7 linked regions of the Macaca mulatta genome follow. The main gene of each other region encodes a partner of the protein of the gene in region 6 in a complex. Links are inferred from orthologs where the notes say so. Each region holds a gene or a part of one and is shown on either strand. Other genes may lie near its edges. The genes, in order: LRRC32, ITGB8, ITGB6, TGFBR2, TGFBR1, TGFB1 and NRROS.

What was found.
Region 1: the proteins of TGFB1 (region 6) and LRRC32 are in contact, whole or in part, in a cryo-EM structure (PDB 8VSC), measured with the Homo sapiens proteins. The link is inferred for Macaca mulatta from reciprocal best matches to the Homo sapiens genes TGFB1 and LRRC32. Residues at the interface, in NP_000651.3 of Homo sapiens: Leu30, Ser31, Thr32, Cys33, Lys34, Pro325, Pro327, Tyr328, Ile329, Trp330, Ser331, Leu332, Thr334, Gln335, Tyr336, Val339, Leu342, His346, Ala353, Pro354; in NP_001122394.1 of Homo sapiens: Ser135, Tyr137, Glu158, Ser160, Thr162, Val184, Met186, Asp187, Ile188, Glu189, Asp190, Phe193, Leu202, Leu204, Arg206, Asn207, Ser208, Leu209, Thr210, Cys211, Ile212, Ser213, Asp214, Phe215, Ser216, Leu217, Leu223, Leu225, Cys227, Ser229.
Region 2: the proteins of TGFB1 (region 6) and ITGB8 are in contact, whole or in part, in a cryo-EM structure (PDB 7Y1T), measured with the Homo sapiens proteins. The link is inferred for Macaca mulatta from reciprocal best matches to the Homo sapiens genes TGFB1 and ITGB8. Residues at the interface, in NP_000651.3 of Homo sapiens: His117, Thr241, Arg243, Arg244, Gly245, Asp246, Leu247, Thr249, Ile250, His251, Gly252, Met253; in NP_002205.1 of Homo sapiens: Ser156, Ala157, Ser158, His160, Asn161, Asp213, Tyr214, Asn215, Leu216, Gly248, Asn249, Ile250, Asp251, Thr252, Glu254, Gln286.
Region 3: the proteins of TGFB1 (region 6) and ITGB6 are in contact, whole or in part, in a crystal structure (PDB 5FFO), measured with the Homo sapiens proteins. The link is inferred for Macaca mulatta from reciprocal best matches to the Homo sapiens genes TGFB1 and ITGB6. Residues at the interface, in NP_000651.3 of Homo sapiens: Pro70, Gly71, Pro72, Glu75, Leu158, Asn237, Gly245, Asp246, Leu247, Thr249, Ile250, His251, Met253, Asn254; in NP_000879.2 of Homo sapiens: Ser142, Ala143, Ser144, Asp146, Asp147, Pro196, Cys197, Ser199, Ile200, Pro201, Tyr202, Lys228, Lys231, Ile232, Ser233, Ala234, Asn235, Ile236, Asp237, Thr238, Glu240.
Region 4: the proteins of TGFB1 (region 6) and TGFBR2 are in contact, whole or in part, in a cryo-EM structure (PDB 9FKP), measured with the Homo sapiens proteins. The link is inferred for Macaca mulatta from reciprocal best matches to the Homo sapiens genes TGFB1 and TGFBR2. Residues at the interface, in NP_000651.3 of Homo sapiens: Arg303, Lys309, Trp310, His312, Tyr368, Tyr369, Val370, Gly371, Arg372, Lys373; in NP_003233.4 of Homo sapiens: Phe47, Leu50, Phe53, Asp55, Ser72, Ile73, Thr74, Ser75, Ile76, Cys77, Glu78, Val100, Asp141, Glu142.
Region 5: the proteins of TGFB1 (region 6) and TGFBR1 are in contact, whole or in part, in a crystal structure (PDB 3KFD), measured with the Homo sapiens proteins. The link is inferred for Macaca mulatta from reciprocal best matches to the Homo sapiens genes TGFB1 and TGFBR1. Residues at the interface, in NP_000651.3 of Homo sapiens: Ala279, Leu280, Asp281, Asn283, Tyr284, Tyr328, Ile329, Trp330, Gln335, Lys338; in NP_004603.1 of Homo sapiens: His39, Leu40, Thr42, Lys43, Phe55, Asn68, Met70, Ile78, Phe84, Val85.
Region 7: the proteins of TGFB1 (region 6) and NRROS are in contact, whole or in part, in a cryo-EM structure (PDB 7Y1R), measured with the Homo sapiens proteins. The link is inferred for Macaca mulatta from reciprocal best matches to the Homo sapiens genes TGFB1 and NRROS. Residues at the interface, in NP_000651.3 of Homo sapiens: Leu30, Ser31, Thr32, Cys33, Thr35; in NP_940967.1 of Homo sapiens: Phe194, Glu195, Ile196, Glu197, Gly198, Gly199, Phe201, Leu210, Leu212, Pro218, Cys219, Ile220, Val221, Asp222, Phe223, Gly224, Leu225.

What each region holds. Positions count from the first base shown.
Region 1 is NC_133419.1:77,073,862-77,078,119, forward strand, and holds the start of LRRC32 (transforming growth factor beta activator LRRC32), read right to left. Parts: upstream 2,801-4,258; 5' UTR 2,667-2,800; exon of another isoform or gene 1,657-2,666; intron 1,356-1,656; exon of another isoform or gene 1,110-1,355; intron 1-1,109.
Region 2 is NC_133408.1:107,917,188-107,920,687, forward strand, and holds part of ITGB8 (integrin beta-8 precursor), read right to left. Parts: intron 1,846-3,500; exon of another isoform or gene 1,775-1,845; intron 142-1,774; coding exon 1-141. UniProt on the Homo sapiens protein: Integrin alpha-V:beta-8 (ITGAV:ITGB8) is a receptor for fibronectin. It recognizes the sequence R-G-D in its ligands.
Region 3 is NC_133417.1:65,076,294-65,080,316, forward strand, and holds the start of ITGB6 (integrin beta-6), read right to left. Parts: upstream 2,801-4,023; 5' UTR 2,521-2,800; intron 1-2,520. UniProt on the Homo sapiens protein: Integrin alpha-V:beta-6 (ITGAV:ITGB6) is a receptor for fibronectin and cytotactin. It recognizes the sequence R-G-D in its ligands. Internalization of integrin alpha-V/beta-6 via clathrin-mediated endocytosis promotes carcinoma cell invasion.
Region 4 is NC_133407.1:17,856,648-17,859,577, forward strand, and holds the end of TGFBR2 (TGF-beta receptor type-2 precursor), read right to left. Parts: intron 957-2,930; coding exon 777-956; 3' UTR 501-776; downstream 1-500. UniProt on the Homo sapiens protein: Transmembrane serine/threonine kinase forming with the TGF-beta type I serine/threonine kinase receptor, TGFBR1, the non-promiscuous receptor for the TGF-beta cytokines TGFB1, TGFB2 and TGFB3.
Region 5 is NC_133420.1:59,300,419-59,304,370, forward strand, and holds the start of TGFBR1 (TGF-beta receptor type-1), read right to left. Parts: upstream 2,801-3,952; 5' UTR 2,692-2,800; coding exon 2,595-2,691; intron 1-2,594. UniProt on the Homo sapiens protein: Transmembrane serine/threonine kinase forming with the TGF-beta type II serine/threonine kinase receptor, TGFBR2, the non-promiscuous receptor for the TGF-beta cytokines TGFB1, TGFB2 and TGFB3.
Region 6 is NC_133424.1:52,496,821-52,500,862, forward strand, and holds the start of TGFB1 (transforming growth factor beta-1 proprotein), read right to left. Parts: upstream 2,801-4,042; 5' UTR 1,843-2,800; coding exon 1,488-1,842; intron 1-1,487. Other genes in the region: B9D2 (B9 domain-containing protein 2), read right to left, coding at 3,476-3,789. UniProt on the Homo sapiens protein: Transforming growth factor beta-1 proprotein: Precursor of the Latency-associated peptide (LAP) and Transforming growth factor beta-1 (TGF-beta-1) chains, which constitute the regulatory and active subunit of TGF-beta-1, respectively.
Region 7 is NC_133407.1:2,177,193-2,181,301, reverse strand, and holds the start of NRROS (transforming growth factor beta activator LRRC33), read right to left. Parts: upstream 2,801-4,109; 5' UTR 1,838-2,800; coding exon 1,731-1,837; coding exon of another isoform or gene 1,687-1,730; intron 1-1,686. UniProt on the Homo sapiens protein: Key regulator of transforming growth factor beta-1 (TGFB1) specifically required for microglia function in the nervous system.

The sequences.
Region 1 (4,258 bases), on a different chromosome or scaffold from region 6:
CCTCATCCTTGGGGTCCCAGCTTAGATGGGCCAAGAGGTCTTCTTTGGTTCCCCAAGTCTGGGCTATGTCCTCCAGTCCTCCCAGAGCCCCCGAGCTTCCAGTGAGCACAGCACCAAGCCCTCCGTGGGTACTGTGTCCCACCCCCCTCCCATGGGAAGTGCCCCTAGAGAGGGGCTCACCGTCCTGAGATGCATCTCACAGCACACAGCAGGTCAGCAGCGGCACAGAGAACTGACACCAGGAGTATTGGTGACATGGGGTCGTTAGTGACAGCAGTTCTCTTTGGCTCTCCCTTCACCTCCCTGCCACATTCCCTTCCCCTATTTGTGCCATCAGAGGGCTCTGACTGCTCTCCCTGAAAAAGAGACCCCAGATCTTCCTACTTCCCTCTTGTCACTGCCACAGACTGAGATGCCACCCCAATACCGGCCTTAACCACAACACACTGACCCCTTATAATCTGTCCTATACCTAGCAGCCAGAGAGATAAAATCATCTGTCAGACCCTAAACCTCTACTGTTTGAAAATCTCCAAGAAAATCCAGGCCATCCACAGTCTCCTCTCTGACTCTTGTCCATTTTCCCTTCCCTCACTAAATTCCAGCTTTCTTGCTGTTCCTTCAACACAGCAAATTCATTCCTGCCTCAGGGCCTTTGCTCCTGCGGTTTCCTCTCCCTGAATGCTCTTCCTCAGCTCCTCACACATGTCATTGTTTTCCCACATGTATCATTTCCTCATCATTTATTTCTTATCATGTGGGAACAGGGGCCTACTAAGTAGGTGCTCACTAAAGACTAGTGAACAAGTGGCAAAGTCAGGGCAGAAGCTCAGCTGCAGCAGACTGAGTGGAGAGTGCCAGGTGAGGACAAGGAAGGGTCCTAGGCCCTTATTTCCCCTTCCTCTGCCAAACCCCACTCTATCCCCAAGGTGGCCCTGTGCACATCCAGAAGGGACCGTCCCTGGAGCACATGGGCACTCTGTCCTGGCATCTGACAGGAAGGGCCCCTCAGCTGTGGGCCCTCCTCAGTGGTGCCCAAGACTACTCTCTCTCAAAAAGGAGGACGGTGTCACTTAGACCCAGGCATGCATCCAAAGCCCACCACTCACCAGCTCTGCTCCCTAGGGTAAGTTCCTTCATTTCTTGGTGCCCCAGTGTCCTGTTGCAGGGCAGGCAGCTGGGTTCCAGTTCTGCCACTGGCCAACCCCAACTATTGTGATGATCCGGCAAAGAATAGCAGCAAAGGTGCCCTGCGTCCTCACTGTCCTTCCAGCTGGCACAGTGACCCTCGCAGGGCTGAGCATCCCAGGTGAGGTGTGCTCAGTGGGGAGGCCCCAAGCCTGCAGACAAGTGGCCTGGGCAAGAGGAGGCAGAAAAGTGCTAAAGAATGTGTGTGTGTGTGTGTGTGTGTGTGTGTGCGTGTGTGTGAGAGAGAGACAGACAGAGAGAGAAGAGAGCAGGGGTAAGAGAGCAGGGGTACGGGGGGCAATGACTACTATCACAATAAGCCCACCCTACATTTAAGGATGTTAGACAGTCTTTTAAGCACTTGACCTATATCACCTCATTTAATTCTCACAATCACCTATTGAGGCAATTACTGTAATTCCCATTTTACAGTTGAGAAAACAGGTTCCGAAAAGTGAAGTGACTTACCCCCAGAGTTACCCAGCTCACAAGGGCTTTGGAGCTCGGATTTATCCAGTTCTACATGACCTGAATACTGTGTTTTCTCCAGCACAAGCTGAGCCGACTCCCCCCATAGAACTGTCTTCTTTTGCCCATGAAGAAAAGGAGGCTCAGAGAGGTGACTTACCTAAAGTCACACAAGGAGCAAATAGCAGGGTCAGGATCAGAATCCAGTTCATCTACCTCCAAAGCAAATGTTTCCACTATACCGGACCAAGGTCTCCTTCCCTAAGCCCTGCCAACGACCCCTCACATGCAGGAGCAGGGCAGACTAGCTCACAGTCTGGGCTCTGAGGTCCTCTCTCCCTCCTCTCGGCCTCAGCTGACTTACTGGCAGAGTGGGGTCCTGGGAGAGCTGCTGCGGACGTTCCTGTCAAGCAGTGAATCACTAAGGGCAAGCCTCGTTCTGGAGACATGTGCATCCCACGGGGGAATTAGACCTTAACCCAAAGGAATGTGGCTGTGATGGCGGAATTTCAGGCAGCTCGGGGTGGGGGTGGGGGTCCCTCACATCTTACCAGCCATGAAGAAGGCTGGCTTCAGAGCCCCTTGCAGAGCGGTAGGTGCCTCCCACCCCACTACGAGAAATGGGCAGGCCATCTAGTGCTGTGGGATGGGCAGCCCCACGCCTGGCCGGGATCGGAACGTTGCAGGAAACGTGAATTCAAATTCCGGTCTGCCCTTGCCTAGCTGTGTGTTCCTGGGCAAGTCCGGTCTTCAGGCCTTTGTTTTCCCAGCTGTCAAATGGGAACCTCGGTCTCACTCCTTTGCGGGAAAGCTCCGCGGAGACAGGAGCCTTGGGGGCCTCCCAGGAACCGAGGGAGGGTCAGCCCCAGCCCCACGCGCGCAGTGGGGACGGCGGGAGGGGAGGGTTTGGGGGGCGTCTCGCGGGACCAGACCCCTCCCTGCGCTCGCGAGGGGCGCGCAACAGTGCGCCCCCCGAGGGCCGGCCACCTCGCCCGCCTGGCGGCTCCTACCTGGCTCAGCGCGGCCGCAGTTCCTCTCCCGGGCAGTCTCGGCACATTTTGCGCAAACCCGCCCCCGGGTCCCACCCCGCGCCAGACCCCGGGGTCACGGCCCGAGGAGGCGCAGGCCACTCAGCTGCCCCACCGGAGCCCCCGCGCTCCGGCTGCAATTTAAATACCTCTCCCGCCGGCCCGCCACGCCACGCCCCCCTCCGGCGAGGCCGCGGGGTCCTAGCGCCTGGCCCCGTGCCTCGGTTTATCCGGAGCTGGCGGAGGCGGACTGGGGCGGAGCGGCGAAGCATCTTCATCACCCTGGGACCTCGGCCGGGAAGGGGCGGGGACCCAGAGGGGTGAGATGAGAGGGCGGGAGGGAGAGGGGTCGCAGAGGAAGCGCCGTGGGAGCTAGGCCCGTCCCGGTGGCCGCCGCACGTGCAGTTCGCGGCCCCGCGGGGTCCGGAGGGGGGCGCGGTGGCTCTAAGAGCCGCAGGTCCACAGAGGAAATCCGGCCTGGCCCCGATTTCCCAGCTGCTGGCGCCGCCGCACTTAACGCGGGGGCAAACAGGCGAGGTGACGGCGGGGCTGAATGCGGAAGGAAATGACCCTTCTCTGGCCCTGGGGCGGCCGCGGAGGGGGTTCCCCGCACCAAGCCGCCCGCTCTGGTGGGTCCTGGCAGGTCACTTTTCCTCTCCGAACTGTGCTTTAGCGTCTAGACCCGTACTCCTCCATCATCTGCGGGGCCCTTCAACAGCCTGTGAAATAGCACCATCAAAGTCCTCAGCTTTCGGACGGAGAAACTGAGGCTAGGGCGGGGGCAGTGTGTACACATGAAAACCAATTGTCTGAGACTAGTAAGGTCCCTATTTATAGTTGGGGAAACTGAGGCTCAGAAAGGTTAAGTGGCATGTCTAAAGTCACACAGCTTGTAAGAATCAGGGATTTGAGCCCACTCTGTCCATAAAGCCAAGTCTGCTTCAGTTTGGGCATTATCTTGGCCGATTTTTTAAAGTATTGTGCAAATATAGGGTGGCGGTATTGTCGTTTAGATCGGAGGTTGAAGCAGATCTTCCCCAAAGCCACCCCTCTTCTAGATGCCTTGTCCCCACCAAATCACAGGTACCCTGCTCTGCTGCCTGTGGGCTCCAGGATGCGGGTCCCTAGAGGAGAGGGGCCCTGGCTGTCCTCCAGGTCCTGGTTCTGGGGGTGGAAGTGTTTCTCTTCCCTGATGGTCTTCCACAGTGTTTCTCTTCCCTGATGGTCACCAGCCCTAGAGTGGGGTAGGGTGCCCCATTTTACAGGCATGAAAGTGACCACCCAGGGCCTTCTGGCAAATCAGGGTAAGGCTGGGCTCAGAAGTGGGATTTCCTGAAGTCCCTACAGTTACTGTCTTTTCTTCTGCCTGTTCAGTCTACTGTGGAGATGGATCTGAGCAGATGGGGTCAACCCAGAGAGGACAAGCTGTGACAGCAGGTGCCCCAGGGGCCTGACCTAGCCTTAGAGGAGGAAATCAGGGAAAGCTTCCCTAAGGAGGAGGCCTGAGCTGCACTGAGGGGATGGGCAGGAGGTGCAGGTAAGGAATCTCTCAGCAGGGCCTGGGAAAGGTATCC
Region 2 (3,500 bases), on a different chromosome or scaffold from region 6:
TTTTTCTAGATAAATCGTTGCCAACAGAATTTAATTTTTCTATATTATTGTGCATTGATGCTGAGACATCAACCAGATAATAAAGATCCACAGGATATTTCTTCAGAGGATGAATTTTCAGCATAAAATTAGCTTCAGCTCCTAGTTCGACAGAAGAAAAACATCATGTAGTCTTCATTTTAAACTTTTCAGGATAAGCTATCAATAAATTAGTCACATTCTAGCACCTAGCACAATCATCACAAATGTGCACATGAATTTTGGAATATTCTAGTATAATTATAATCATTATAGTATAATTATTATTGTAGTATAATTATAAGGCAATTTGAAAACCATACCAATTTATTAGTCCCAAATCCTACAGTTCATTTCCCACAATTCTATAGGCTGAATAGGGATAATAACAAATAGGCTAGCTCCGTATAAATGTAACAGGGTATCGTATCATTATATGAACCTCCATTGCCTTAGTAGCTAGAAAAACACAGTGCAAACCAGTAAGCGGCATTCTATCTCAAGAGAGTGAGGGGGCTGTACTTGTGGAATGACTTGAGGAAAACTGGGAAGGCATTTTTTTTTTAAATGAACTCTTATTGGATAAAGGCATGAATTCATTCTTTTGGGTTAAAGTGTATTTACACAGGAGATGAGAAAACTCTAGTACTGTGTAGTACAGCAAGTTGTTCAAAATAATTAGTAGCTCGTCACTAGTTAGTTGATATGATTCTTCCCATCAGTTAGCCAAGAGAAAGAATGAGACAGTGGGCTAAAGAATGGTGCCCTGCAGTGCCACATGGAGGACCTGGGGCAGGTAAGGATCAGCATTTGTCCAACACACAGTGGGTGTTCACATGCTGAGGAGGGGCCCCATGAGTGAGGCACCCACTGTGGACAGAACAACTGGATGAGAAGAGGGGGCTGCCACAAGGACAAATGTTGGTAGTCCCCACAGGGTACTACAATTTTATTTAGTTTTCTGTCATATTACTATTAGATACAAGGACCTGGGTTATCCCCCCTAACCCTCTATAGAGTTGGTACCTCTACTTTTAATTTAAAGTATATAGTGAAAAGGCATCTATTGAAATGTAAGCAATTCATAATTTGTAAATTTTACTTTTTGAAACTATTAAGCAAATGCTTTGTAAGTCATTATTTTTCCATAAGAATATTCTGAATGGAAGACATTTTTAAAATAAACATCTTTTGTATACATAATTTACTTATTTAAAGAACCTTCTAATTTATCAAATTATATTTTTGGTGTTAGTATAAAATAGCAATATTTTCTTTTCAATTATTTCACAAATCAGATGTTTTTCAGCCAAATTACCTACTGTATTCAAAATAATAAGGTTTTGCTGGTATATAATAATAATAATGGGAGAAAGGGACTACTCCTTCCCAATTTGCTTTTTTTGTGCAGGCAACCCCTTTGGTGTAATGCTCCTAGGTTTTGGCTCATATTTGAAAGGAGAAATAGGGCAGGCGTGGCCCAGCCCAGTCCATTCTCTCATCCCTTGCCTTCAGAAGTTAGGCTGCCTCCAGAGAGCATATCCTATATTCTGCTCTGCTTTTGGGCTTCTGTTGACAGAAAGACCCGTTCCTGTGGCAGTGTTCTGCAATTTGAGTGGAGAAATTAAATTCAGGGGAATGTTAAACACTGGTACACTGGACCAGATCGAAGAGAAGTAGAAATTCAGCACTACTGGGAGAGCGACTCATGTGCAGGGACTTGAACCTTGATGTGTGGATCAGTGTATTTTGTTTTTCACTCAGACCCAAAGTATCGACTCTCTCTAGGTGAACTGCTGTTGATGAAAAGTACTGTCATCTTTGTAGATTTAAAAAAGATTGTTTTTGTAAACTGGCCACATGGTATCATGGTATTTTTATGTTGGTGAATCGTTGCAGTTTACGGTGGCTCTGTCTAAAGATGAATGGCTGTTTTCAGAGGTATTGCTAGATGTAATAGATGGTCAGCATATTGTGCCAGGGACCCAGCAAAGGTATGGGTCGGTGACCTCAGCAAACAACCAGAGCCTGTGTAGCATCAGCAAAGGCACAGTCCTTGGAGGTAAGCTATTCAGGGCCTTCCAACCAAATGCTAGCCACACGAAGGCGCTCAGCTGAAACCAGCTGCTCATAGCCTAGCAAGCAAATTCTGGTCTCACTGGCCTCAGCAAAGAAGAAGACTGTGAGAAAGCACTGCCAAATGGTTGGGGTGTGAGGGTGTTGGCTGCTGTGCCTTGATTTTGGATTCCATAGATTCTGGCCTTAGCACGTATACCGGGGTCAGCTGAGGCCTCAGCAGAGAAGTTTCTAATAAAGAGGAAAAGAGAATATTTCCATACACAGGCCTTTTAGTAATTGCTGGCAAGAAAAATAATCAATACTTTTACACTGCAAGACCCCTGAGCTTGTTGTGAGAGTCTAGCTTTAAGTAGTCAATTCAAGGTAAATAGACCTAGATAGGCTGACCCCAAATCGTGCTCTGTTTGATAAGGAGGAAACCAAAGGGGTCAAGCTGGGATTACCATGTCATGCCCATCAGTTTGAGATGTTCCTCATAATATGCTCTCAAGTTGGCTTTGGATTGTATAATTATAAATAAAGGAGAAAACTCTTGGGAGCAGCTGTCCTAGGCATCAGTATTCCACAGTAAGAGGACACAGAAATACCTTTGTGTGGCACTATGGATATTATGTCCCTAGTTAACGCCCCCACTTAACCTTTGTACGTGATCTCATCGTAGAGCCACTTATAAACTATTTTGGACAAGATGCCTGGGCATAATTTTGGAGGAGAAATGGAATAGGGTATAAAACAGGGGCTTAGAGTGACCCTGGAAATGATTTAATTAATGAAGTGCTATGACCCATGTCAGGGTTTCCAGGAAAATCTCCACTTCCCATCAGTGGTTTCAGAATTATTACCAAAGGAACTCTAGTTGGCATGGGGACGTGGCTATATGAAAAGGACAACAGAAATGTCCAGATAGACCGTGGATCTCTGCCCTGACAGGGACAGCACCCTCAGTTTCATCACATGCCTACTGGCAATATCCATTGGTTTTAAACAAACAGCCTGGGAATTTCAGGGAGGGGAGGGAAGGGAAGGGGAATGATTGCTCCTCACTTTTCCTCCTTCCTCCCAAGTAGGACAAGCCCGACTACAATAACCCCCTCCCACATTCACTCCTCCTCAAGCATAATATATGATTTTCAAAGCCATTTTACCTAAAGAATTTTATTAATTTTGCAGAAGCCCTGTTGAATATATTTCTATTAATACTTTACAACTATCTGGGCTATTCCAACTATCAGGAATTATTAAACAGTTATATGCAACTGGATTTGTTATATAAAAATTAAACTTAACCTGGCATGTGCGCTCCAGATATTTTTAGTTGTAAGGTACCATGGGTTAATATTTATATTGAATATTAATAGATGATATGTCAGTGTTCCTTTTTAATTTCACATTAACTTAATTAT
Region 3 (4,023 bases), on a different chromosome or scaffold from region 6:
TTCCCAGCCTCCAGAACTGTAAGCTGACAAGTTTCTGTTCATTACAAATAACTCAGTCTGTGGTATTCTGTTATAGAAGCACAAAACAGACTAAGATGGTAGGGGATTCAAAATTTATCTTATATATGATAGGGAACCAGTGAAAAATTTTAAACAGAAGAGAAATGCATTCTGATTTGTTGTTTTGAAAGATAACCAACGGTAGTATGTTGGTGAATTGGAGGGAGGGAGAGTGCTTGGAAAGTTAGTGTAGCAGTCTAGGCAAATGTGGATGAACTATAATGCCAGTGGACATGAAAGAGGAAAGGATGAACGGCAGATCCAAGTGAAGGAGGAGGATAAACAAGCCTGAGGTTTCCTGCTCAGGCACTTGGTAGACGTAACCTGATGTAGCAGAGCTGTATGTATGGGTGAACTTTGTGTTATTAAACAAAATAATCATTTTAATATTACAATTTGACATATCTATCAACCTCCTATGGGGCTCCCCAAAGAGGTGGGATATTGCAAAGGAGAGAAACAGTTAGGGCATAGAGTAGATAATGGTTCAGAATGGCTAAGTACAAAGCTGAATGCCAGTAGCGTGAAGGACAGTCAAGGGCCTTCTTTCGGGAACTCCAACCTAAAATAGCAATCTGGGCTGGCCTGCCTGGATTGACAGGCCCATGCACTGTGACCAGGTTGGGGTGCCATGCCTGTGAGTAGGCTGGATGGATCCCCAGATGACCTTGGCCTGTAGTTAGCTCTTATAACTACATCTTGGGTGTGGCTGATTTCCAAAGTAGCAGCAATGGCAGCTGACAGCTTTGGGAGTGTTTATTCTCTGTAAAGAAAAAGTGCCCATAAGAAATACACCTCCCAAGTGGTTGTTCCTCCTGGTTTGACTAAGAGATTCTGTGGCTGAGAATATGCCTATGGTTTTTGTAAAACCATTAAAGAATTGATCGCTTTTTTCTTGAGTCAAAATGCCTTGAATCTCTTAGGTAATTTAGAAGATCAGTGTAAGTTCTACTCCTGGGAAATATGTCAAAGAAATGACTGCTTGCATGCTTTAGTTCATTAGAGTATCTTTTCCCCTTCTGCATATCACAATAAAAGTAAATTCCAATACAAGAATTCAAAGGCAGAGAAGGAACCTAACCCTAACAATCAGATTAGAAATAAATGCCCCCTTTGAGGATCTGAAGTTGGAATACAATATTCCACTAAGTGGAATACAATATTCCATTCTCTGATTAAAAATTCTTGCTGTCACCTACAACTCACAAGGCCAAAACATCTGGTGCTAAGTTTGCTTTAGTGTATGGTAACTGGGGAAAACATTGAGAGATTGCAGTAATAGGATTTTGTGTGTTTGTAAATTGAGCTTTAGCTATTGTACTTCATCCAGGGAACACTAGAGGGAGCAAGTCAGATAGAGGAAAAAGATTACAATGGGAATGAATGGGGAATGAAGAAAGGAGAACTCTAAAGAGGAAGGCGTTTTTGCATATCACTGAGGCACAAAATTTTCCTTAGGCAGACACCAATACTTGTATTATGACCAAATGACTTTATATTCAAAACCCTGTATTAAAAAACTTTCTTTCTGAGCCTGTTCAGAATCTAAAAAAATAGGAGAAGAAAACTATTACTCTCTGATCAGATTCTGTCCATTTTAGGTATTTTACGAGCCAATACAATATAGCTCTACCTGTGATTTTTTTTAATTTTAGAGGGTACATTATTTGGATGAATAATGTACAAAATCCACAGATATTGGATTTTGTTCTTTACAGTGCTAGTGGTCATACTTCCGAAAGTTCTCATGGTGAATAGTAATGATACCAGGTATTTTCAGACACTTGTAAGAATAAAATATGCTCTTCATAGATAACCTGAATTGGAAGCCCTTTTCTCTCCATTTTCTCCATAATTCTCATGTATTAGTTCTACACTAAAACACCATTTTACAATCCAGAGGTACTGAAGTTAACTGGTCCGATGTCATGCATATGTCAATGCAAATATGAACTGATATTTATTTTCCTGTTTTAAATTTCCAGTTCCTCATTTCCTTTGTGCCTCTTGAAGATGCCAAAAAGTTAGTGAAGACGAGTCTCATCACTGATTTTTTTTTAAAAAAACTTTAACAATTAATTAGTACAATCAGAAACAAATATCTTAAAATCTTAACGAGAGACTGTTCAACTGGTTATTAAAATATTTTACTGAATAATGAACTAAGGCTTTTATGAAATACTGTTCTTAAACCATAGCAGATTTTTAAAATGCAGCTGTTAAAAACATGTGTGAGTCCAAATGTAAGAAAAATCACAGTAAAGCATGCTAAGTTAATAAGGATCCGCTCTTTTACAAACGTTGGGGTAGGCTCACCTGGACGTTCATGTCAGGAGAGCAGAAATGACATTACAAACTCCCTAAGGCAGCGTCTGTTGGAAGCGATCGGTGACACTGACAAGAAACACTCAGTTCTGAAATTTGGGTTTGCATTTGTTAGCCATGCATTATCCTACTTACCTCTCAGGGTAGAACCTTTAATTTCAGAAAGTGCTGGCATGCATTACTGCACCCGTTATCAAAAGTCTTTGGCAGAAACGCCATTTATCCTTGTTGTGGTAATGAACAGATTTAAAACATTCTGGTGTCACCATCCCTGAAAAAGCACATTCATTTGAATATTTCTTCCACCGGCATAATGAAATATTTCATGAAGGCACATGGGTGTAGAATACTATGGAGAGATATTGCTGGTGAATGACAGAACGTCTGGTTGATTTACATGAAACCCCAAGTGCTCATATGAGAATAGGTTAGGTTTAGATTGACGAGCAAATGTGTAACCAGACTTCTGGCTGACAAATGGCAGAACTATGCCAGTACATTAGCTTCTCTGGAGAGAGACCAAAAGTGAAACGGGAGGATCAAGTTCACTCCATAAAGGACATTCAAACCTAGTGGATGGCAGTGTGGCTGGGATATTAAGCACTTATAGATATTAATACCCCAAAATAGTACTGAGTTTACAGTTGAGCTGGCCAACTGCAGGCCAGTGGTCAAACTCTTATAAAGCATTGCCGTATGCTACATGTGTGTATTGACATTCCTTCAGGAGGATCCTGGTGTTTTCGAGATAAGTCTATTTTATTGGCAGCTTTGGTCACTAACTCTAAAAATGGATTGTTTGGGTAAACTAGAAACTGAAAATAACAACTGATGAGATTAGCGTAAAACATGGTGCCAAGCATTTAATGGTCCAGATTGAATTAGATTTATTTTGGCGCAGCACAGCCGTGAACAGAAACATCCACACAGGCTTTGTCGAGAAGGATGAAGAATTTGGACCCATACTCTCTTTTCCAGGCTAAGACTGAAAGTTCAGGACTTTGGGTATGCCTCCAAGGAAGTAATGTGATAGTAATAATAGATACTCCTCAAGTTCCCATGGTGTGCCAGGCCCCCTGCTTGGCACTTAGTGTACATTATTTTATTTGATTCTCACCACCACACTGCGGATAGGAGTCACGATGTTTGCTTTATAAATGACCCGGAGGTTGACTTATCCAAGGCCATACAAGTAAGTGACCAAGTCGGGATTTAAACTCCAGTCTGACTTGAAAGCTCTTTCCATCATGTTACAATTCTTCCCAAATGTCTGATAAACAGTACTGGTTCAGGTTTGCAGCTTGCAAGCCCTTTGGTATTTGTGGAGCATTGAGGCAAGAAAAACAGAGAGAGCCAAGAGTCCTGGGTTTGAATCCTGGCTCTACCATTTACTCACTGTGTGATCTTGGAAAAATATCTAACCTTTCTGGGCTGTATCCTCATCTATAAAAATGTGTGTATGTGTTGTGTGGTGGGTAATAGAAGATTTATAAGCTACCTTTCATTTATAACTTTTGATGATTTTGTGAGCTTTCACGGGGCTTTTAATTTCCTGTAATTGAGGTGCATGTTTGGTCTTTTGCTCTTTAAATAACTCAGCTGTGAGGAGACACTTCCATTTGAAATTCAAGAACTGAC
Region 4 (2,930 bases), on a different chromosome or scaffold from region 6:
GAGTTTCTAAACTAGGTTGAGGGAAATTTCTAAACTAGCCCCCGCAGATGTGCTGCTTGCAGCTTAAATGAAAAGTCCAGGAGAAACAAGGGCACACAGGAACCCCGGGAACACTGGTTCCCAAACAGTGCCACTGTACTTAGTTCCATGGCCAGAAGAGAACTGCTAGGCAGGGAATGATTATTTTGCAAAAGCAACTGCAATGTGGTCATAGCTGGCTGTGAGACGTGCAGCCTCTTGCCTCATGCAAAGTTCCCTGTTACACAGTCGGAGAACCACTGCATGTCTGATTGTCAAATGCTAATGCTGTCATGGGTCCCTTCCTTCTCTACTTGGTTCTGGAGCTCTCCAATAAAACCAATTTCCTGGGAATACTTGATCTTTTTCCTTGTCTCTTTTCAAGGTATGGCTATATATAGAGAGATATAGACATATATAGATATATATATATATATATATATATATATAACATAGCTATTCATATTTATATACAGGCATTAATAAAGTGCAAATGTTATTGGCTATTGTAAAAATTAATCTCATTTCCTGAGGAAGTGCTAACACAGCTTATCCTATGACAACGTCAAAGGCATAGAATGCTCGATGTCACCTACTCCCTGCTGCTGTTGTTTCTGCTTATCCCCACAGCTTACAGGGAGGGGAGTGACCCCCTTGGTTTTCCAGGAAGCATCAGTTCAGCGGCAGCTTCCTGCTGCCTCTGTTCTTTGGTGAGAGGGGCAGCCTCTTTGGACATGGCCCAGCCTGCCCCAGAAGAGCTATTTGGTAGTGTTTAGGGAGCCGTCTTCAGGAATCTTCTCCTCGGAGCAGCTCCTCCCCGAGAGCCTGTCCAGGTGCTCCAGCTCACTGAAGCGTTCTGCCACACACTGGGCTGTGAGGCGGGCCTCTGGGTCGTGGTCCCAGCACTCAGTCAACGTCTCACACACCATCTGGATGCCCTGTAGTGGGAAAGAGATCCAAAGGGCACCATTAGTTGGTGGGCTCCGCGGAAGGCAAAGTGGCTTGCTGACCTGTTGCTATAGTGAGTGCAAGCAGGGTTCAAAAGTACCTGTGCATTTAACATGCGCTGACTGAGTGCCCGCCGCTGGGGGCCAGCCAGTTCCATGTGGAAAGTGGAGATTGTGCTGGGGGCGGCTGTGCTCGAAACCTACCATACTTTTTTGGCTCTGGTGCTATCTGATCACAATAGGTCCTGACAGCACAATGATCCTCTGCTGGGCTTCTGGGGTACACTAACACTCCCAACACCTGAAAATTCCCCATGCAGTGGCCCCTAATACCATTTTAACGCCTTTCTATTTAGAGAAGTTCTTGGTTCACAGCAAAATTGAGTGGAAAGTACAGAGAGTTTTCACAAAACCCCTTCCCCATACAGGCACAGCCTTCTCCACCTCGGTATCATCCGTCTGTGTGCTACATTTGTTCGAACTGATGAACTAACACTGACACATCATTATCAATCAAATGCATAGTTTACATTAGGGTTCACTCTCGGTGTTGTATATTCTATGGGTTTTGACAAATGTATAAAGACAGGTATCGACCATTATAGTATCATGCAGAATAGTTTCTCTGCCCCTCAAATCGCCTGCATTCCACTTACTCGTCCCTCCCTCCATTCCCCTACATTTCTGGCAGCCACTGATCTTTTACTGTCTCTGTAGTTTTTGCCTTTTCCGGAGTGTCATATAGCTGGGTCATATATACACTGTTCTATTTTAACAGGGCTGATTACCCCAGTCAGAGTTGTATGCAGGCATTAGCGTGGTTTCATTTTCCACAGGCCACACATTTGGTAGAGTGATTCAGTAGCAGCTTCTACGAGCTGCCAAGGATGACCTCTGGGATGCCCCATTCCTCTCCAACAACATAAGGTTGGACCCTGTGAAACAGCTGCCTTTGAGGGTCAGGCATGCTTAACTCTGCCATTTCACAGGGTTCACCCTAACTGAACCAAGGCCCCATCCAAGGAGCCCATCCAGAAGATCCGGCCCAGGAAGGTGGCAAGAGTTTTCTCTCACTGGCTTAATTTTTATTTCGCATTGCAAGTATTTTTGGTATCATTTCAAATCCTTTTTGGAAATAAAGCAGGCAGGAGTTAAGCAAATGGTCTGATACGTGGAAATAGAGCGTGCTCCTCCCAATTATAAGATCAACATTGCTAATGGGGAACCACCACACAGGTGGCTGGGAGTGGGATGGATACATCTCCAACCTACCTGGGAGAGCTGGCACTTTCTCTACTTGCTTTCTAATACGAACAACTTTCCAAACACACCTAGGAACCTCTCTCTTTCCCTCCTGACACCATGAGTTCATGATGTTAAATTAATTGCATAATTCGCCTAATTGACAGCATTGACAGATGGCCCTGTTAAGAGTAGAGTACTATTGTTGGTACACAAATAACATTTATTTTATTCTGGCACTGTAATTACAGGCAGTAAATTAAATTAAATATTAAGCATTAACTTGAAATCAATAGGGCAACAAATCTCATTATGAGAAAAAATGTATTATGCAAATTCTTTTCAGAATTTTATCATCATGAATAATGGCTTCATTACGAGAACTATACAGCAGAGGAGGCAACAGAGTTTGAAAGAAACATAACACTCCAGTACATTCTGATTTCAGAATTTATGCAAAACATTCTTACAGTTTTAGTGTCAAAGAGGATTTGCCCAAAACTCCAGCGAAGCCCGTGACCCACCACAGCCTGGTTCACCCCCGCCCCCTCCTTTATGAAGGACTTTATTAAGGTCTGTCTGCTGAAGTGGCTCTGCGCCAGGACTGGCACAGACCAGGCTTCCTGCTCCATTTGTCTTCCCGATTGTGCCTGATTTGTTGTTTCTGTTTCTTATCTGAATTTGCCTTGCCCTTAGGGAAACCTACAACTTAGCCTTAGCCTT
Region 5 (3,952 bases), on a different chromosome or scaffold from region 6:
CACACTCCCATAACAGGGGCAAAACTAAACGTGTAGTGAAAAGGCTGAACAGTCAGGAGTCAGTGAGAAAGAGAAATTGTTTGAAGGTCTGCAGTCATGGGAAATGAGATCCCTGGTAAGATACTCAGAGATGGCCCCAATCATAAGCTGCTCAAGTGTGGTTCTAAGTGCTGAATACAAATGGGAAATCTTATAAACCTTCATGGGGATGGCTGAGGAAGATTAGTTTGGCAGTAGCCCATAGAAAAGCCTAGATGAGAGAAACATGGGAAAGCAACTAGATTTGGAGGATAACAGGCAGGATTAAGCTGAAGGCTGCATACCAAGAAAGGAGGAGACATTCAAGAGGCATTCATAGAAAGAAGAGTTGGATTGGGGGCATGTTTTCAAACAAAAAAAGTTATGAAATGGCAGAAAGGAAGCAAACAGCATTCTCAGATGGGATATAAATATAGACATAGTGGTACTAAACTGTGTACTAGGGACAAGGAATCCATTTCCCTAGAGAAATCTATGTTGGAGAGAGAAGTTGGGCAGACAACAATAAAACATACTCAGAACATAAAAAAGTGCAAGTCTTTAAAAGAGAAGCCAAATTACTGAGGGGGAAAAAAAAGCATTTGACCTTTTTCAGAATGTCTTTTAAGGGTGGACTGAGGCATCATCATAACCAACAAGGAAGGCAGACAAGCTGAGGCAGTCTGGGCTTACAGTAATAAGCACCTGGACAGCTTTGTATTGTGTGCACGCCAAGGAGACTGTAAACTTCTCCAGGACATGGACTGAGCAATGTTCTGTATATTCAACTAAGTCCACTACTGTTACTTGAATACATGAACACTTCTTATGCTACTTCTGGTGGAAAAGAATGCACTGTGCTATTCAAGTTAATAGTGGTGTGGAAATGTTACCTGTGTTTCATGCCTAACTATACTGATTCTCCCAAATGTCCACACAGTTATCTTGCCTTCCTCCCTAGGCCAATATCAAAAATCCATTGTTTCCTCTAATGCAGGAGGCCCACGTGAAGGGACTCAGGAATGTGCTAAGAGTCGGAATGAAGCCTATCTGATATTCAAATCATGAGGACAGAATCTAAAGTGAATAATAAAGACCAATTGCTCAGCAGACGACTGAAGAAGAAAAATGGGCTACGCCAGATAGTATGATGTATATATATTAATATATAAGATATACAGGTTTTGAAAACTGAGATCTGAGTGAAAATCCTAGCTTTAGCACTTAGTTATTGGGTACTTAATGTGTCTGCACCCCACTTTTCACATCTGTAAAGTGGGGCAAATGCCACTACTCCTGAAAGTTTAGTTGTGGTGATTAAATAACGTACTTATACAATTGTGTACTTTATGCATTTACATCGCAGTAATGCATAATACATAGACGGTAGCTATTACGACTAATTATAATCGTCAGTCTTGATTTTTTTAAAAAAAAATTCAACATCTTGTGTCCAGTTTCAGAAACAGAAATGTACTTTCACTGCATTTTAGTCGCTAACACTGAGGCTCTCTGTATTTTAGCTTCTAGTGCCTCAGTTCAGCTGCTAACAAAGTTTTTCACTCATCCCTTCGAGGATGCCAACCACCTACCCCAACCTGATTTAATATTTTGAAAAATTCAGCGAACATTCTTCCTTGAAAACCAGCTACACAGATGTCTGATTCAAACTATTAACTGTCACTCAAGAACAGGAATATCGCGAGTGATGGTCTTTCGAGGAAATAAAAAGCGTTTAATCAATTCACAGTCATTCCCAAAATTTCCAAACCCCGCAGAACGAGCAAACGTTCAAGTTTCCACTACGAAAACAATCCGTAGCCTTCTGGTTACTGGACTCACTTCAACACTCCCCAGACGCACGAAAGAAGAAACATTCCGCGCATCTCCGCGCTTCCTTCTTCTCACACAAAGCCCCCCTGGCTGGAAGAGCAGCCCCTTCCAGCAGGGTCGGGTCGGGTCGGGTCGAGCCGGGCGGGAGTTACGGCGGCCTGTGGACCCGGGGGGTCTCACCACACTTCGCCCCCGACTCCCACTGGCCGAAGCCCTAGCGGCTCGGAGCTCACACCCCGCCCAGCAGCCGCCTTCCACCCCAACCTCAAACCCCGCCCCGGGCCCGGCAGCCTTGGGCACGGACCCTCTTGGGGCGGGGGTCCCCGGAACAAGGTCACGCCGTGCCGAGGGGGCGGCGGCGGGCAGCCACCGCTCTGCCAGTCCCCGCCGGCCTCACACTCTCCGCCCCTGACCCTCGCCCACTCACACCCCAGAGGGCAGCCCCGGACCTCGGACGACTCCGCCCGACTCCACCTCCCCGGGGAGTCCCGAGCGGGGCGGCCTCGGGCAGCAGGACACGTCCGCCCGCGCCCGGACACACGCCCCTGCCCCGCCTCCGCTCCCCGCTTGCGGTTCGCACGGCGGCCGCCGAGCCCCGCGAGGCCACGAGAGCCCGGCCGGGCCCCGGCGCAGCCACCTGCGCCCCCGGCCCCGCGCCATGTTTGAGAAAGAGCAGGAGCGAGCCAGAGGCCGGGCCCGGCCCGCGCGCCCCGCAGTCGCCCGCCCGCCGTGCCGCCGCTCACCCGTCGCCCCCGGGAGCAGCGCCGCCGCCGCCGCCGCCGTCGCCGCCAGCACGAGGAGGAGCAGCCGGGGACGCGGAGCAGCGGCCGCCGCCTCCATGGTCCCGCCGCCACCGCTTGTGGCCCGGCCCGGCCCGGCCGCCGCCTCACCCCAGCAAGCCTCGCCTCGCCCCACCTCCCCCGCCGCCGCGGCGGCCTCGCTCCGGCCCTTTGTAACTGCTCGGGGGACGCGCGTCCATTGGCTGCCGGGCTCCCGCCGGCCCCGCCTCCCCGCCGCCGCGAGCGGCCGAGCGGGACCCAGCCGGGAGCCCCGCCTGCGGGACCGCCGGGCAGCCAATCCACAGCCGCGGGTGCCGGTTTCTGGCCACGCCCCATGCTCCCCGGGGGCCGGGCCGCCAGACCGCGGCCCCGGCCGGATCCGCTGTTGGCTCCCGGCTTCCAGCTCCCAGAGGCCGCGTGGGGGCGGGATCTGCCAGCCAGAGCACCGCTGAGCCGCTAGTCCCGGAGGGCCGGGTAGAGCGATGGGTGTGTCTGTGTGAGTCTCTTTCGGAAAAAGGCTGTGGCCGCTCGAGGCTCTTTTCTTCTAACCTCCTCTAGGCGCGGAAGATCTGGTACTGCCTCAGCCCCACCCTGACCCCATTCACAGCCCCGCACCGGCAATCCCAGCACATGCCACTCCGATCCGCTGCAGCGCCAGGCCCCAGCATCCACTTCAACTTCCCCTCTCCAAGTCCACGCATCAACTTCAGCTTTCCCCCGAAGATCCCTCTTCAGTGCCCTTCACATGCGACTCACTCTCCTATTTCCTCCTGCGCCCAGCGGTCACCCCAAACCTAGCTCCCCCACCCAATTCCAAACCTAGAAAGTCCTCAGATCCCAGCCTCAGACCCAGATCCTGAGCCGAAACACACCTCCAAATAGCCTCCCGCCTCCCTCCAGCACAGACCCAGGATGGGGATCCAAACCGCTCTCCTCTCATCCCCATTCCCGATCCAGGTTGGAAAGGGAGGGTCCCCACCCCAAACCCTCAAAGGAGAGGTTCCCCCTTCTTAGCACCCAGCCCCCGTGGGGCGGAGGGGGAGCAGTCATCATTACTTTGAGCTGTGTCTGACACTCCTGTATAATAATCCTGAGGTGTCACTAAAAACCCAAATAAACTCTACGTTTTCATTCTGAATTCCTAATTTACTGCGAGACGCTCCACCCACCTTCCCTCTGCGACGCCAAAATGAGCTCCAGATTTGTAATTCTTCCTGTCAGACTAGTCCTTTCTTCAGACACAAACACAGCCAAGTAGGCTGTTACGTAGAACAGAGAATATTTTTCCGCAGAACCTTTTAAGGAGGAAGTTTTATTTTCTG
Region 6 (4,042 bases):
GCGCGTCATTGGGCTGGAGCCGTAAACTGGCGCAAGAATGGGCCGGCGACCGGCAAGCCCACACCGCCCAAAAGTCAGTGAAACCTAAGGGATCTTTCCCAAAGCTCTGAACCACGCAGGACGCCTGGGTCCTCGCATGGATGGACGGGGCCGGCTCAGTGGGAGCCCCGCCCGTAGCTGGGGTGAGGAGGGCGGGAGGCGCCGCAGCCAGGAGGGCGGGGACCAGACCTGCCCCGTCTCGCCCCGGGCTCCGCGCGCGATCCCCGCCCCCGCCGGGGGCATGGGAAGGAAAGGGAAGGGAGGAGAGTGAGGCGGCCGGACGCTGGGGTTTCCCCAGCCACCTCGAGAGGAACTGGGGCTTTGGGGTCCAGACTGCCAGCATTTAGCGCAGCGGGGTCCTCCTGCCCCTTGGTGGAAGCGCAGGCTCCTCCCCCCGCGCGTGGCACCCACGTGGGGCTTTCTCACTCCTCCCAGCTTGGTTTTCTCACCTCGGTCTCGTAGAGTCACTCCCCACCCAGCACTTCCCCTGCGGCTGGACTCCGCTCAGCCCATTCCCCTGCATCCTGCGGCGAGTGGCGGGACGGGCGGGGGGCGCTCAGTGCTCGCGGCGTGGATGGCGCTGGGTATCTCTCCTCCGCCCCGCTCACACCACCTTTCCCACGCTTGTCTCCCCTCTCGGTAAAGCTCTTCCCATGACCCAGGATTCTAGGTCTTCTGGAAGCTCAATTCCTCCTCTGGGCTCCCCACTCTGTCCCTCACATCCCCGTGTGAAACACCGAGGACACTTCTGCATCCCGGGCACACTCCTGGGTCTCCGCTCCTCTCCCGCTTGCCTCCTCCTTCCAATAACCTCCCGTCCCTTTCTCCCCACATTTATCACACCCACCTCTGTTTCTCTTTCTACGACTCTCCCCCACCCCCGCATCCCGCGTGTTCCTCGCAGCCTCTGGAAATGGGTCCGCTCTCACTTTTCTCGCACCCCCTAGGGTTGCCTTCATCCAGCTTTTCTGTCCTTGAATCTTTCCACCTCAGGACCCCCAAGCTCTGGGTCAACTTGCCCCAGTGCCTCTCCTTTCCCAAATGCTGAGGTCTTCGCTTCTCCCACACCGGGCTCCCCTCTCCCCCCTCTCCTACCCCACGACCCCCTCCCCAATTCAACGCGTCCTGGAGGAGGGAGCCTTCTACCGTCCCCCTATTGCTTCTATCCCTCTAGGGCACTACCCCCACGACCCCGCATGTTTCTGTCGCCCTCTAGAAGCGGTCCACTTCGCTATCTCCTCCTCTCCAAGACCAGATACCTGGGGGGTAGGGGACTCAGTGCCATCCTCTTTCGGACACCCCCCTCCCACCATCCCACGTTCCCTTTGCCCCGGGGGGTCCTCTTCCTCCAGCCAGTTTCCTCTGCCAGTCACTTCCTACCCGGGGCCCCGGCACTCCGGCGCCCCCTGGGGGCCCCCCTCCCGGCTCCCCTGCCCCTCCGAGCTCACCGTTGTGGGTTTCCACCATTAGCACGCGGGTGACCTCCTTGGCGTAGTAGTCGGCCTCCGGTTCGGGTTCCGGCTCCGCACTCTCCCCGGCCACCCGGTCGCGGGTGCTGTTGTACAGGGCGAGCACGGCCTCGGGCAGCGGGCCGGGCGGCACCTCCCCCTGGCTCGGGGGGCTGGCGAGCCGCAGCTTGGACAGGATCTGGCCACGGATGGCCTCGATGCGCTTCCGCTTCACCAGCTCCATGTCGATAGTCTTGCAGGTGGATAGTCCCGCGGCCGGCCGGCCAGGCGTCAGCACCAGTAGCCACAGCAGCGGTAGCAGCAGCGGCAGCAGCCGCAGCCCGGAGGGCGGCATGGGGGAGGCGGCGCCCCCCGGCACTGCCGAGAGGGCGAACAGGGCTAGCGTGGTGGGGAGGCCCCGCCCCTGCAGGGGCTGGGGGTCTCCCGGGAAAAGGTAGGAGGGCCTCGAGGGAAAGTTGAGGTCCTCAGGGAGAAGGGCGCAGTGGTGGAGGGGAGGCTTGGACCGGGGGTGTCTCAGTATCCCACGGAAATAACCTAGATGGGCGAGATCTGGTACCAGAAGGTGGGTGGTCTTGAATAGGGGATCTGTGGCAGGTCGGAGAGAGATCCGTCTCCTGGAGGAGAAAAGGTCTAGGATGCGCGGGGGCTCAGGAGACAGGCCGGGGATGAAGGCGGCGTGCAGGGGGTGCGCCCGAGGTCTGGGGAAAAGTATTTGCGGGAGGCCGGGTCGGCGACTCCCGAGGGCTGGTCCGGAATGGGGGCGCCTGAGGGACGCCGTGTAGGGGGCAGGGAGGGAGCAAGCGTCCCCGGCGGCAAAGGGAGGCGGTCTGGGGTCCCCAAGTCCTGCCTCCTCGCGGGGCAGCGTCGCGCCAAGAGGTCCCCGCGCCTCCGGCTCCCAGCGGCAACGGAAAAGTCTCAAAAGTTTTTTTCCTCTTCTCCCGACCAGCTCGTCCCTCCTCCCGCTCCTCCTCCCCCTCCTCCCCGCAGTGGCGGGGGCGGCGGCGGCTCGTCTCAGACTCTGGGGCCTCAGGCTGCTCCTCGGCGACTCCTTCCTCCGCTCCGGGCCGAGGCCGGCCCCGCGGGCGGCTCAGAGCCGGGGGGGTGCCCCGGACGGGGCGTCCCCCCTGCCCCCGGCCGGGGCCCTCGCAGTCTGGCTGATCCGCGGAGGGAGGTGGGAGGGAGATGGCCCAGGGCGCGAAGGGCGGCGGCGGCGGGGACCGGCTGGGTCGGCGGGGGGTTTTGAAGCCGCCCCAGCCCCACCCAGGAAGCGCACGGGGCGGGAGCGCGGGCGGCCCCCAGGGGGAGGGCATGGGGGGGCTGGGCCACAGTCCTCATCTCGCGTGGGCGGGCTCTGAGGGGGGTCCCTTCAGCCCTGGGGGAAAGGGGCGGGCACCCCGGCTCCGCCCCGCAAACAGGGTGCTGCCTCCTGGCGGCCAAGAGCCACCAAAGCAGGTGATCCAGATGCGCTGTGGCTTTGCGGGCGGTGTGGGTCACCAGAAAAAGAGGACCAGGCGAAGGCTTAATCCGCGGGATGAGACACAGGGGAGCCGACCAGAGGAGGGGGACCCAGAACGGGAGGACAGTGTGAGGCTGGCACACAGGGTAGGGGAAGAGGGTCTGTCAAGATGGGGGCATCCGGAGGGTGTCAGTGGGAGGAGGGGGCAACAGGACACCTGAGGGATGGAAGGGTCAGGAGGCAGACACCGGTAAGAATTGCTCTCCTTTACTGAGCACCTCCCATGTGGCTAAGCAGCCTCTTGTCATCCAACATCCTGCGACCCCATACATTTACTCTCCCCAATTTACAGGTAGGGAAACTGGGCCCAGAGGGACCCAGAGGTCCTAGCAAGGACAGGAGTCCTTAGCTGGGGTCCAGCTCTGATGGTCTCCAGAGTCCGTGCTCCTGACCACTGTGCCTCACTGGGTGTCCAGGGTGTGGATGGTGGTGGCGTTGGAGACAGGGTCCCTCAGCACTCAACGCCATAGCGGTCGAAGTTGCGGAGCAGCAGGCTGATCTCCAGGTGCACGGTGCCACCAGCAGCTGTGTGCAGGCGATAGCGGTCGGCCCCACTGTAGATGGTGTCCCCATGCAGCAGCTGTGGCCCACCACCCACGAAAGCCCGTGCCAGCTGCTCTCGCCAACTGCCCAGGGGCCGCCAGGTGGGGCAGGCCAGCTGGTGTGTGCCCGGGCTGCTGGGCACATGGCAAAATCCATAGCCTGCAAGCTGGCAGCGGCCAAAGCTGTCCTGGGACCACACCTGGAAATGGAGCCGGGGCCAGCCTGCAGGAAAGCAGGGAGAGGGGAAAGGAGGGATGGGTGGTGACCAGACTCCTGCTCCTGATTCCCCCCTCCCTGATACTCACCGGAGACCCCAGGCCCAGTCCTTTCCTTTCTGGGTTTCTGTCCCAGGGTTTCCAACCCAGCCTCCTTTCTAGACTCCCATCTTCTCATCTATCCCCACACAACTGCCAGAGATCTTTCCAAATCCATGTTACTCCCCTGCTAAGGATCCTTCCATAGCTCCCCAGTGCCC
Region 7 (4,109 bases), on a different chromosome or scaffold from region 6:
TCTCTGTTTTGGAGCCTACCAAGTTATGTCTCTTTATCAAAGAGCAGGATCTCTTGGATGATGAATTTTAAAACTATGAGAGATTATGTTTACATGTGTTTTCATGAAGTTCCCATGAAGGTACTCATTACATGAAAGCTGGGTGTGGTGACTCATGCTCACACTCCCAGCACTTTGGGAGGCCAAGGCAGGAGGATTGCTTGAGCCCAGGAGTTCAAGACCAGCCTGGGCAACATAGCAAGATCCTGTCTCTACAAAAAAAATTTTTTAAGTTAGCTGGCATGGCGGCGTGCACCTGTTGTCCTAGCTACTCAGGTGGCTGAAGCAGGAGGATCATTTGAGCCCAAGAGTTTCAGCCTGCAGTGATCTGTGATCGTGCCACCGTACTCCAGTCTGGGCCCCAGAGCAAGAGCCTGTCTCTAAAAATAAATAATCTTTTTTTTAAAGTTCCTTCTTTGTGAAGTTATTATTATTATTTTTTAAACCTAAAGGCAGGGGTTAAGGTTTTTTCCTGGGCCCATGATTCTATAATCTTTAGGAACTATCAGGCATACACATACAAACCTGAGGGGTGTGTGAGGAGAATAAATATGCACCGTATGTAAAGCCCAGCAACCCCCCAGCATCCACAGGAACAGTCTGTGTGTCACAGCCAGCAGGGAAGGAGCACACAGGAAAGCACGGAGGGCCAGCTCCACAGACTCTGAGTGTTTCTAGCATCCAGACTCCTAACAGGCTGTACCCATCACGAAGAAGCCTCCAGTGGGGTCCCCTCAGCCCCTCCGGAAGCACAGCAGCCTCGACCAGCCCCATCCAAAGGTTCCATTCTTAGGACCCGGACCTGGCCCCCTCCAGTCCCAGCCACTAACTGGCACGTGTTCGCCTTGTCTCAGAGGCAGCACAAAGCCACACCGGTGGCTCCTTACTTCTTTCCGTCTAGCTCCTGGGTACCCGGGGAAGTATGCTGACCCCTTCAGAAGCCGGCCCACATGGAGAGGCCACGAGGGCCACCAACGAGCTTCCCAGTCTGAGTCGCCCTCCTCTTAGTTTCCCTCTGATAAGCCATGGATCTAAGGCTAGGCTAGGATCCAAGTCACAGAGCCCCAGTGGATCTCCCAAGGACAAACCGTCTGTGGGGGAAGGGGCTTTGCACATCTTCACAGCTGTATCCCCAGGGCCTTGGACAGGCCTGGCACGTGGACGGAATCTGTGAACAGGTGTAGCTGTTAACCAGCCTTAGCGTCTTCATCTATGAAACAGTGGTTCTCAGTCCACGTTGTGGGACAGGAAAGGAGAGCCCAGCGCTCAGCATGCTGAGTGTGCACAGAGCCGTCCCATCATATCCAGTCGCCCAGTCCAGGGAGGGAGCACGGCTGTTCCCACTTTGCAGATGAGAAAACTGAGGCTCGGAAACCTTCACTGTCTGCTCACATGCTCCCTACAGAGCCAGGACTCAAACCCACGTCTGAGTCTGAAGCCCTGGTGGTTTCCACTACACCGCACCAGCTTTTCAGCTCTAAGCGCTCCTGGAGGGAGGCATTTCCACCTCCACCCAGAGCCGCGGCCCCCACGCCCAGCACAGAAGCGCGGCGCCTGGATGCAGCAAGCCACAGCTTCCTCCTCAGCCCTGAGCTGCCGGCCACGGACCTGACCTCCTACCGCCCAACCTCGCTCGAGCTCGCCCACCTGGAGAAGTCCCCCGGGGACGCCCCCACGCAGGAAATACTCACGGCTCCCGCAGGCGCAGGCGGCTCCGCGGGGCGCATCCTCTCCGGGGCTCCGGCCTCCTCGAGAGCAGCCGAACGCGGGGCTGGGCTCCCTCCTTTCTGTGGGGCATCAGATTATTTTAGCACCAGCGGAAGGAACAGACGGAAACTGAAGTCACATGGAGAGCGGGCTGCCGGGCGACTCGGCACAGGCTCACTCAGACCGGGCTGCGCAGAGGGAACTGCAGCGCGGGGCGCGGGGGATGGGCGGGCTGCGGGGAGCTGGCCCGACACCTGCACCTGCCGGCCTGGTGGCCAAGCAGCGGGGATGTTTAAATGGTTTTCCAGCGACGCTAACGGGACCCCCGGCTTTCCTGCCTTGGTGCCTAGCTGGGGTGGCCAGCTAGGGGACCCTTGCCTGTGAGGTCCGCTGACCCAGAAACTTTTCTACAAGCTTCCAGCCAAGGACCAAGCTGAGGCCGACTTTGAGAACCGCAGCGCAGGTGTAGAGGGGCAGCCCGCCGTCTGGAAGGGTCAGCCACTCAGCTAGTCTGTCTTTTTATCCACTCAGCTAGTCCTTGTGGATAATCTCCTTTACGGACCCTCGCTGTGTTAGAAAGAAGGGGAACTGCTTTGTCGTGGACTGTCAGAGTGCCGCGAGCTTCCTGATCATAGACTGCATGGACGGGTTTTTTGTGCCTGATGTGTGCAAAGTTCCCTGCCAGCTCTGGCCAGTAATTCAAAGGAATAAGAAAATTGATAATATAACCATCATCGAAGGGGCGCCAGACACTGTGCTAAGAGCTTTATATGCATTATCCCAGCGCTCCTGGTCTTGAGGAAATGCTGTCGTCTAGAGAAGGTGAAATATTTAGTGTCTGCTGCATGCAGTGAGTGGCGTGGACCACCACACTCAGGGGCTCAGAAAAGGGACCTCCAGCTCTGATCTCTCGTTCCCCCTCTAATCTGGAACGTTGAAGTGTCCTGCAGGATTGGGTGCCTCTCCTGTAGCCTGTGATTTATGATTGTGTGTAGCATTGTCCATCCTAAGAGAACAGGAGCAAGTCCTTTTCACTCCAAACATCCGGCACATTGTCTCTGCTTTCTACTATGTTCACTCATGGCCGGGCACAGAGGCGCGGGCTTGTAATCCTGGCATTTTGGGAGGCCAAGGCAGGCAGACCTCTTGAGTGCCTGGGCAACATACTGAGACCCTGTACGTACAAAAAATTAAAAATTAGCCAGACCTGGTGGCACGCACCTGTAGTCCCAGCTATTTGGGAGGCTGAGGTGGGAGGATCACCTGAGCTCAGGGAGGTTGAGGCTGCTGTGAGCCAAGATCACGCCATTGCGCTCCAGCCTGTGCGATACAGTGTGACCATGTGTTTAAAAAAATAAAAATAATTAAAAAAATAAAATATTCTCTCATAATGGTAATAACAATGACACCAGTGAAAAAGCTAAATAAAGATCAAATTGTCACAAACCCAGGTGCCTGATTCAGGCCTCTTTCTCTCCGGTATGCACATTCTCTACTCCATGGCTTTTGTGTCTACCAATCTGTTGATAACTCCCCAATTTTAATCTCTAGCTCCAACATTCTCTCCCACAAGAGAAGATCCAGAAGATCCAGACTTGCTTTTTTAACTCTCTACTGGTCAATCAACTACTGTATGTCCCAGAGTCACAACATGATGTATCCCAAACTCAACTCTCTCTTTTTTTTGACAGAGTTTCACTCTGTCACCTAGGCTAGAGCAGTGGTGCAATTTCAGCTCACTGCAACCTCTGCCTCCCAGGTTCAAGTGATTCTCCTGCCTCAGCCTCCCAAGTAGCTGGAATTACAGGCATCCACCACCACGCCCAGCTAATTTTTGTATTTTTGGTCGAGATGGGGTTTCACCATGTTGGTCAGGCTGGTCTCAAACTCCTGACCTCGGGTGATCCGCCCACCTCAGTCTCACGGAGTCCTGGGATTACAGGCATAAGCCACTGTGCCTGGCCCCAAACTCAACTCTTTTTTTTTTTTTTTTTTGAGACGGAGTCTCGCTCTGTCGCCCAGGCTGGAGTGCAGTGGCGCGATCTCGGCTCACTGCAAGCTCCGCCTCCCGGGTTCACGCCATTCTCCTGCCTCAGCCTCCCGAGTAGCTGGGACTACAGGCGCCCACAACCGCGCCCGGCTAATTTTTTGTATTTTTAGTAGAGACGGGGTTTCACCGTGGTCTCGATCTCCTGACCTTGTGATCCGCCCGCCTCGGCCTCCCAAAGTGCTGGGATTACAGGCGTGAGCCACCGCGCCCGGCCAAACTCAACTCTTATCCTTTGTCCCAGCAGTTTCTCTCCTGTACGGCTGTCACACTTTACGGTACATTTCAGCCCAGGCAGCCCAGTCCTCACAGCCTT